2 linked regions of the Schizosaccharomyces pombe genome follow. The gene in region 1 interacts genetically with each later gene. Each region holds a gene or a part of one and is shown on either strand. Other genes may lie near its edges.

Evidence for each region.
Region 2: of wpl1 (region 1) and psy2, changing one suppresses a phenotype caused by changing the other (phenotypic suppression), as found in Schizosaccharomyces pombe (one study listed by BioGRID).

Annotation. Positions count from the first base shown.
Region 1 is NC_003423.3:473,901-478,563, reverse strand, and holds wpl1 (WAPL family protein), read left to right. Parts: upstream 1-1,835; 5' UTR 1,836-2,043; coding exon 2,044-3,544; intron 3,545-3,553; exon of another isoform or gene 3,554-3,584; coding exon 3,585-3,637; exon of another isoform or gene 3,638-3,682; coding exon 3,683-3,937; 3' UTR 3,938-3,990; downstream 3,991-4,663. Other genes in the region: DNA replication licensing factor Cdt1, read right to left, coding at 1-1,133; Rheb GTPase Rhb1, read left to right, coding at 4,067-4,128, 4,188-4,446, 4,501-4,663. UniProt on the Schizosaccharomyces pombe protein: Regulator of sister chromatid cohesion in mitosis which negatively regulates cohesin association with chromatin.
Region 2 is NC_003423.3:893,604-898,987, forward strand, and holds psy2 (serine/threonine protein phosphatase PP4 regulatory subunit 3 Psy2), read right to left. Parts: upstream 3,812-5,384; 5' UTR 3,531-3,811; coding exon 2,819-3,530; intron 2,761-2,818; coding exon 962-2,760; 3' UTR 769-961; downstream 1-768. Other genes in the region: squalene monooxygenase Erg1, read left to right, coding at 1-449; dynein-anchoring factor Num1, read left to right, coding at 4,472-5,384.

The sequences.
Region 1 (4,663 bases):
CAAGCAGGCAAAGCTTTTGAAAGCAACTCAATTGCTTTGGCACACTGGTCAGGTGATAAGCTTGATGATATCGACATTTGCATGCTTGTCACAATTTCAGACATAGAAAAAGATCGTTTAGTTGGCCAAGTGGAAAGCTGAACAAAAATGAGATCAATAATGCGGACAAATGAGACCTTTTCTTTTGCTAGAGTATGAACAACTAGGTTGTTTTTAAATTCTTCAGCTTTTTTTGCTTCCATTGCTTTTTGCTTTTTACGCACGCGATCGAACAGAGAAGATTGTCTCAAAGTTAACTGAGATGATGTTAGCTTACGCGATGAATTTTGAACAGATGAAGAACTTTGATGGGATTTCAAATTGATTTTTGAATTCACTGACTTTGACAAAGTGGACGAACTGTCAAGCATGCTACACGAGACTAACTCATTAGCATATTTTGCCGTGTTAGTAGTGAATTTTGGTTCTAGAGTTTGTGTGGGAATACGTAACTCGCGACTTGTTGATTTCTCCAAATTGAGCTTTCGAACTAGTGAACTTTCATTAACAGTATTCTTGGATAGACTGGGTAAAGCTTGTAACTGTTGAGCAGGAATCTCAGTTTCAGAACAATGCTCTAACAACCATTTTTCTAGTCTCCGTTTAAATTCAATGGAGCGGGAGAAGGCTTCAGGAAGATTCGCATTGCGAGGGTATGACAGTTCATATGTTGCAACACGCTTTCCTTGATGAATAGTAAAACATGGGGTAATAGCAAATGACTCTGGCCATACGGTTAAAATCTGAGCGAGATGAGTTATTTTTAAGGAGATTTTGGTGAGACCAGAGACTTTATTTTCTAACAGCACAAAGGTTGGTTTGGTATTGATGGAGAGGTGAAATTTTACACATATGTCGACTGCATTAAAGACCTTTTCTAAGAAAAGAACTGATTCATTTTTAACTGGGGGTAAAACCTCATTTTGTTCTAAAGACTCAGTGTCCAAGTTCTCTTTCAGCCTTTTAACAGCTGGTATTATTTGAGAATCCTCAGGATTTTTGGGTGGCTCAATAATGGCCGCATTCGACCTTTTTGATGAGGATCGAGTTTTACGGACAGAGAAGTTCAATTTTGTTTGCGATCCAGCGCTCATGATTTGAACACAAAATCCAAAAATAAGGATATTGTTGTCGTGACTATATAGGGCGCGACATTTCATTTATATCGAGGGTTATATTAAATTTGAGCGTGTCGCGTTTGTTGACGCGTCGCGTAGCTATCGTGTCGCGCTTGCTAACTAGTTCACATTTGTCCGACTAATCAGTTTATGTCTTACTTAGCCTATATGATTCAGTAGATTATATTGAATAAATAAGTTCCAACACTTGTACAAAATTCACAAAACAATTTTTTAACTACAGCTTTTCATTTTCCGAAGTTTTTATAGAATCTCTTATACGAGTTTAAAATTATTACAGGATGCATCGTTATATAAATTTTGAATAACTCCTTTGCTCTGCGAGATATTATTGAGTTGTTCGTTGTCGAAATTTTCAATAATATGTTACATGTCACAATGATTTCTGTATAATAAAGGTGTTGCACCAAGTTCAGGCTCTCTGAAAACAAACTTGTGTCAAATAGCCACTCGTCCACTTATGGTCTTCCATAAGTTGTACGAATTCAAAACTTTTAGTTAACTTTTTTACTATCAGTGGATAAGTTGCTATAATAAATGAATAAAAAGATGCCCTGTATGATTTCTATCGACTAAGTCTTTTCTATTTATACTGGGTAGAGTAACAATGTGACTCAAATATCTATAAGGACCGATTGAAATCAACCAAGTACAAATAGAAAAACGATTCTAAAATTACTGAGTATAAAAAACGAATTTCTCATCAAGGACCCTATTTTCTTTTTTCTTTGCTCAAGAAGTTATTAAGCTCTATTTTCGAAGGTTTTCACTCACTCGACAAGCTACATTGTGAGTTGGTACGACCGTGTTCCTCCATTTTTGTAAAGAATCGATGTCAAGCCAGGCGGATTGAAGAAACCTTGAAATGAAAAGAGGAAAATGTAAGGAAAAAGATAATGGTTTGAAGAGAATTTCTTCGGAATCGGAAGTTTGGAACTTTTTAGACGTGACAGTTTCAGAGTTAAACAAGCAAAAGCGCTCGCCAGGACAGACCGTGTCTAAACGACTGCATAAAAAGCAAAGGGTCGTTAGTAATCCTGATTTGAGTTTACCGTCTTCACCGGTAAAACAAATTTTAAGAAATGGACTTCAGAATTCAAAGTACGGTTCTCATAAGACAGGACTGGAAAGGTCCGCGAGCTGTAGTAGTATTGATGCTTCCGCAAACCATTCTTCCACTACCTATCGGGAACAAAGATCGTATTTGATGGAGGAAGGATTAGATACTCAGCCAATTGTACCCCGTGAAGTATCCTCTGGTCGAGAATTGGATTCAACCAACCATACTATTGGTACAGAACGTGCTTTTTTGATAGAGGAAGACGTATCAGAAGATGATGAAATTCAAATGAAAAGTATACATGAACTTCGCTTTGCTGGAGAGCAGCAAAGGATCGTTGATGAAATTGAATACTTAGTGGACGGAGTGACTTTCTCAGGTAACTCTTCTGCTTCTCGCTATTTGAGTTTAATAGGAATCGCTGAAAAAATGTTTGACAATTCATTTCGTTTATGCTTAAAGTCGATACGGGATGTCTTCTTGCGAATATTTGAAGAAATTGATCCTAAAGATACTTTACACACTTTTTTGCAGATTTATATATTTGCAACTATGGCTAATGAAATGGATTGCATGAGTTCCTTGCTTGATGCTTACTCAAACAATGTTAAACTTCTTTTGCAAACGGCTATTACTTTAGAACCGCAGGTACCGGTTTCAATTTTGGCAAAAAGCTTACCAAAAAGTGTAAAGGGAGCCGTTCAAGAATTCGTTATAAAGGCAGAGCTTACTTTTAGTTTTAGCAATGAGTCTCTTGCTTCTTCTGATTCTATCAGTCTTGCAGCTATCGCTCTTATGAAGACGTCCTCGGGAGTTTTTGCGGAAAGCGAGTTGTTTACCGAATTAATCAATCTTTTAATAGAAAAATCCTACCCCATCTTGAAGGAAAACGATGGAAGCAATAACTTCTTACTTCATGCACTTTGTAGTTCTTTAGAAAAATTTACGGATTTCCAGGGATCAGAAAAGATTCAGAAGGTTTCACAGATCTTATCCTCAAAGTTACAAATTTTAATTGATGAACACAATGAAACAAATTCACCAAAAATTGACGATACAGTTGTCCATGCATGCAGTGAAAAATTGTTGCGTACTTTGATTCAAACAGTTAATTCTAACAGTGATCATGCGTTAGCGGTTTCTAAATCAGAAGTCCCATTGTTTGCTTATAAAATTTTACAAAAGTTTTCTAATTTTTCGTCCGATGATGAAACTACACGAGAACTAATTATCTTAATCCTTGGTCTTTTACTAGGGCTAGTTGAGGAATCTCATGAGTTTATTCAAACTATCACTCATGTTGAAGGTAAGTTCCTTTTATTAATATTTTTACTAATTCTATTTAGTTTCTTTCGGAGCTTCAGCACTCGATGTCCTCATTTCGTTTTATCAAAAGAACGTAAGTTGTACTACTTCTGTTGTAAGACATTTCTAACAAATGTAGGAAAGTATCGTAGAAATTAGTGGATATGTCGTAATGATTTTAAGCCATTGCTTTTTAAATGATCCCAAAGCGTTTGCCCAACTCAAGCCTTTGATATCTCAGTTTTACGAATCTCTACATAAATTTAAAAATTTTCATTTGAAATTGAAAGAGGAATTAATGATGATGGGTTCTAATGGACTAGCCATTGTTTCTATAATTGATGAACTACATAAATCGTTGCAAGACTACTTGCGCAGTGACTTGGTAAAATGACCTTTGCGGCGCGCTGGGAACGTGACATCCACAACATCGTTGCTTTCACTCACTTTTTTTTACGATCACTCTATAGTTAATAATTTGCCTTTTTAAATATTATAATCTTGAAATTTTCTAATTTAAACAATGGCTCCTATTAAATCTCGTAGAATTGCTGTTCTTGGCAGTCGTTCTGTTGGAAAGTCCAGGTAAGCGTTTGATTGAAGTTTATGCGCAAATAGGTTTACTAACCATTTTTTTTAAATAGTTTAACGGTGCAATATGTTGAAAACCATTTCGTTGAATCGTATTATCCAACTATTGAAAATACATTCAGCAAGAACATCAAGTATAAGGGTCAAGAATTTGCTACTGAAATTATCGATACGGCTGGTCAAGATGAATACAGTATCTTAAATTCTAAGCATTCCATTGGAATCCATGGCTATGTACTCGTTTACAGCATTACTAGCAAATCTTCTTTTGAGATGGTTAAAATAGTTCGTGACAAGATATTGAATCACACTGTATGTCAAATTATTAGAATTTTTAAATTTTTTACTAACCTACTTGCTATTAAGGGTACTGAGTGGGTCCCCATTGTGGTTGTTGGCAATAAGAGCGACTTGCATATGCAGCGTGCTGTTACCGCTGAAGAGGGAAAAGCATTGGCCAATGAATGGAAATGTGCATGGACAGAAGCTTCAGCTCGCCATAACGAAAATGTTGCTCGAGCATTCGAGC
Region 2 (5,384 bases), 420 kb from region 1:
GCTTTCACGATGCCTATCTTCTTTCCCGATTCATTTCCCCTTCCGCTGTTCCCGATCTTCTAGACTACGAGCGCATTTTAAACCAAATGAACAAATTCCATTGGAAGCGTAAGGGTTACAGTTTTGTAATCAACGTTCTTTCCATTGCTTTGTACAAATTGTTTACCCCTAAAAATCGCTATATGAAGGCTCTTGAATCGGGCTGTATCGATTACTTCAAGCGTGGAGGTAATTGTGTTGAAGGTCCCATTCGTTTATTAGGCGGTTTAGACCATAGCCCTTCTCATCTTATCGGCCACTTCTATGCCGTCTGTCTCTATGGTATTTACCAATATGTCTTGTCTGGTCCTGCTTTGCTTATGCCCGTCCGTATCATCGAATCCTTATTGATTTTCTTACAAGCTTCGCTAGTAATTATCCCTTATATCCTTAGCGAAATGTCATCCTAAGTTTGCAGAATCAGTTCATTAAAATTAAATTATTTTTGATTTATGAATTGGTTGATTATGATTGTCTTGGCAATCACTGATAGCTATTTGGTTTTTGCCTTGTTTGGTACGTCGTTGTTTTTAAAGAAATAGTTTTAGATAGAGTTGGGTTCAAGTTTGTAATGACTTCACACTCTTTTTGTTTATTATATAAATCCCTCTGTTTTTCAAGAGTTATAAATTGCCGTTTTAATATAAAATACTTTTTTTTAATTTTTAAGCCTACTAAGTACAATTATTCGTCAGCGTTAAGTAAACAATTATCCCGAGACTACAAGACCACGATAGTAACATGAAAATTGGTATTTATTATTTTAAAAGTCCCTTAATGAACAACCCAAATCGTTTATATTATACAGATGAGTTTTCAAAACAATGATAAACCCGGGAACAAAAATACGATGTCCATATGATGATTCACTTGCATTACAATCTTCTAGAGTTTTTGGAGCTTCCCTTTTTATGTTCATCTTCTAGGAAGCGTAGCCATTCTGGGCAGAACTTGAATCGATAGAGAGTCTCTTTTTTGGTGATTCATCATCAGCTTGCTGATCATCAACTTGGAAATCCGATTTCCTTTTAGAATAACGGGTGTTTGAAACATTAATACCTGAAGATTCTGCAGAGGTATCATAAACTGCAGACTCAAGGAAATAACGATCCTCTAATATAGGTTGCTTTGGCTGCTCGCAACTGTCTTCAATATTTAGCTCAGCAGGGGCTATAGAATCAAGAACAGTACGTTGTCCAACTTTTTCTGATAATTCAGTATCGTTTTCAATAGAAAAATCTTGCTGTATTTCCCAATCTTTGGATACGTCGTCTCCAACACGTTGGTTATTATTGGAGGCACCGTCAAATTCATAACTATTTGATTCATGAGTCCCAACAGTTTTAGGGCTTCTTGAGTCAGAGCTTAAGCCATCTATTATATTTAAAAGCTCAGAAAAAGTACTGAGATTATTTAAAGATTCCAGCTGTGGTCGATAGTTTTTATTGAGATAATCCAGTGTATCTTCAGATCCCTCGGATCTTAAAAATTCAAAAAACTCTAAAGCAGCTGAGTTGACTAAATTAGTTTGGTCTTTGACCTTTAACATCAAGTCCAGAACTTTTCCGTATGTGTCAGTTTCTAACATGATCAAGGACATTTCTGACTGACGAGCGGCCAAACAAGAGCGAATAAATCTAAGGGCGCTCAAAACAACATATTTTCTATCGCTGTATAGTAATAGAGCCACTTTTGATGTAAGGGTTTTATATGTATCAAAACGACGAGACCAATAATCGTGTATACGAAAAAAATAACAAAAAAGCTCACACAAATGCATATACATATCAAGCTTTTTAACATCTAAACTCGATACATTTTCCAGCTCCAATAAAGGAGCAGCAAGCATATTAAAAGAGTTATCATAAAAATTTTCAATAAAATTAATTCCAATAATGTTATCGGTTTTATTTCGAACATTTCCATCAGCATTTCTGTAAGGATTATTGTATGCATAGCTACCAGGTAAACTTAGTAGCATTTTAAAAGCTTCAGAAATTTGAGCAAGTACTCCAGGATTTGATTCTTTATGCAAAATGTTAATTAAATTGGAAAGCAACGAATGTTGGGAAACGTGAGCATTGCTCAATGAAGAAGAAGCGTCCTTGCGATCTTGATCAAACTTTTGCCAAACGATGGCAGGTTCATGATCAATAATAGACACCAAAATATCGGAACCAGCATTTCGAACGGAATTGTTCTCATGTGACATTGCATAATCCAAAGCTTTCAGAAGATTAAATTTAACGAAAGTAGCAAATAATGCAGAGCAGGACTGGAATTGTAGCCCTTTAGCGATGTTGCAAACCTGCTGAATAAAGAATATACCGTCTTGCTTGCGTTGATCATCCTCGCCTTCATTCACATAAATGCTAAACAGTTCATGTAAAAATTTTTCATTTGTTTGAAGGTATTGAATAATATCAGCCTGGTTAAAGAAGATAAATGAATTTAGCACCGAAAAGGAGGGTTCGTCAACAATCCTTGAAACGACAACATCCCTTAGATACTGAAGCTTAAATGTCTGGTGAATTTTTGCAAGAATCCGTGGATCCTGAATGGGAACCACCTGCTTAAACTTTTTGGAATCCATTAAATATTCCCGATGGTTCGCTTTGATATTGGGGAATTCCGGATCGTATTCGAGAATACCAGCTACACACATTAGCTTTTCATCATTAGAGAACAACGATTCGAGTAAAGGGGCGTCGTTCAATTGCACTGACAGCGATTAGCAAGGATTTAACGAATCTAAAAAGTATAAAGTAGATTAACATACCAAAGCTTTTTATTATGGAACACAATCGATGAAGGTCATCTGTATTCTCTAGATCCTCACACAGAGGAAAAAGTTCAATAAGTCTATCAATATAATTTTCATTTGAAACATAACGAACCAAACTATCTCTTGATTGAATAGACTGCATATATCCATATACTGCTTCTTCAATTTCTTTTAAATTAGCAAGCTCTGGGGCTGGAAGATCGACCGTGTTTAGGTAGTTTTCATTAAGCGCCCCCTCATCCGTCAATATATCATCGTTGGAGTAACTTCTAGTTACCGATGATATTGCCTTTTGAACATTTGCTAAAAACATCCACATGTCTATACAACCGCTAGATTCTTGAAAGCTTAAAGCAAGATCAGTACCATTCAATTCTTGCCAGACTATGAGAGTTTCTTCTTGACGGCTGTATATATCTTCCGCAATCAATTGTGTTTTCAAAAGGATGGTTTCATTATCAGCTTCTGAACGCACAATGAAATAAGCCAACGGTCCCTCTATTTTTCCATCGCAATAACCGGTGCCACAGTCTACCCAGTTTTCATCTTCCATTTCGTACACTTTTACACGTCTGGGAATCGATGGCACTTCGATCTTCTGCAATGCAGCTGCAATTGCTTCGTCTAATTCCTCTTCTTCATTTTCTCCATCTGAAATTTCATCAATATTATTATTTAAATCTTCCTCTTCCTTCGTAGAATCCATTTCTACGGCGGATTAAGGGTAGACGTCAGCTTCGAATTTACGACGTTGGCGTTCGTCACCAAATTTTCAAAAGTGAAGACGAAATTCAAACGTGGTGGTGAATGAATGCAATACCGTAGATTGCACCAAGATTGTAATTATTAATAAATGTATTTCTCATTAAATGGCAATGCCGCTTTACTTAATTATTTGGTTTGCCTAAAATATAACAAATAGATTTGTTAAGCAGTGTACTATGTATATTTCACGTGCATAATTTTGAAGTGTTATGGCAGAATTATGTTCTTTATAGAGTCAAATAACTATTATATACGTGATCGTGGTGCTTTCAGTCACTATTTTTCATTGTAATTCGGTATCTGTTTACAACAATATCATTAACGGACGTTATGCATTTTAACGATGAGTACTTCACCGCTCGGTGTATATGCTGTAATCAATCCTTATATCGAGTTGTGTTTTAAACGTTTTATACTGTCTACAATTAGCATTTAAATCTTTTCGAAATAGTAAATAAACTAAATATGAATATAAATAAAGTTAATTATTGTCTAAACACATGTGTAGCCTCGTCAAATCAATTTTTTGCAAGTCAATCATGAGGCTCAGGGTACATTTGTAAAGTAATAGTTAATTTTTAAGTACAAACTAATGGTATTTATACCGATATATATATTGAAAGCTGCTAAAGCTTCGCTAGATATTCAAGTACTCTAGCAAATGCATCAATATAAATACAGTTTTTTTGCTTTTACTAAGTTTTATTGTTAAAGCGTAATACGAGAAATTTGCCAAATGAGAACACGAATTGAATTGATATAATTCCAGAAATAAAAATTATGTATTCAAGACGATGACTGTTGCGATATGCATGCTTACGAGTTTATCGATATATAAAAGACAAAGAGAGTTGAGCTTACCAAAACATATACTGATCCTTCATGGAGAAAAAACAAGATAACGAGGTGGAATTATATTCAATTGATTTAAAAAATAGAAATGAAAGTGCAAAAATAAAGCTTGCTTATGCGAAAGCGTTAGAGGAAAGCATTCTTTGTGAAACACGAAAAATCGAACAAGAAATTAAAGACCAAGTGGTTCAAAAGGAAAATAAAACATATTTTAATAACAAATTTGATAATCGATATAAATTACGCGACTTGGAAAAAAATTTAGCGGAGGAGGAGGTGAGAATTACGGAGATGCTTACTATTCAACGTCAAGACATTGCAATTGAAAGAAGGAAGAACACAAATTGCTTCAGTGAGTCTTCTCAAGTAGATCAATATTCAGTTACTGAAACCAATCTACAATATGCTACTAACATTGGCTTAAACCTTCTGCAACAGTTGCGGTATTTAAGGCTGCAACTGTCAGAGAAAGAAGATTTGCATAAAAAGTTGTCAGTGGATAATGCCCATTTAATCAAGCAACTTGATCTACTTTCTTCAAACATGAAAACACTTATGAAAGAGAAGACTAAGGTGCAAGGACAAAGGGATTTGCTTGAACAAAGACTACAAGGATTAATGAAAAAATTGACAGAAGTAGAGTCTTTGACCGTTTCACTTAACGATGAGAAGAACAAACTGACATTGGAATTAACAAATTTAAGAATTTGCCTTCACGAGCTTCAACTGAATGCCGAAAAAGGCGAAACTATAGATGAAAGTGAAGATTCTAAAAATACTTTGGTAACTGAGGATGAAAACGACGATTCTGTATTTTTGGAGTCTTCCTCGGATAAGTATTTTGATAGTTCATCTTTTGATGCGGAGCAAGAAGAGAAACACGATTTTCCAATAGATCCTTTTTTGTCGTTGGAATCCAATGTACAAACTTCGGTATCTCAAT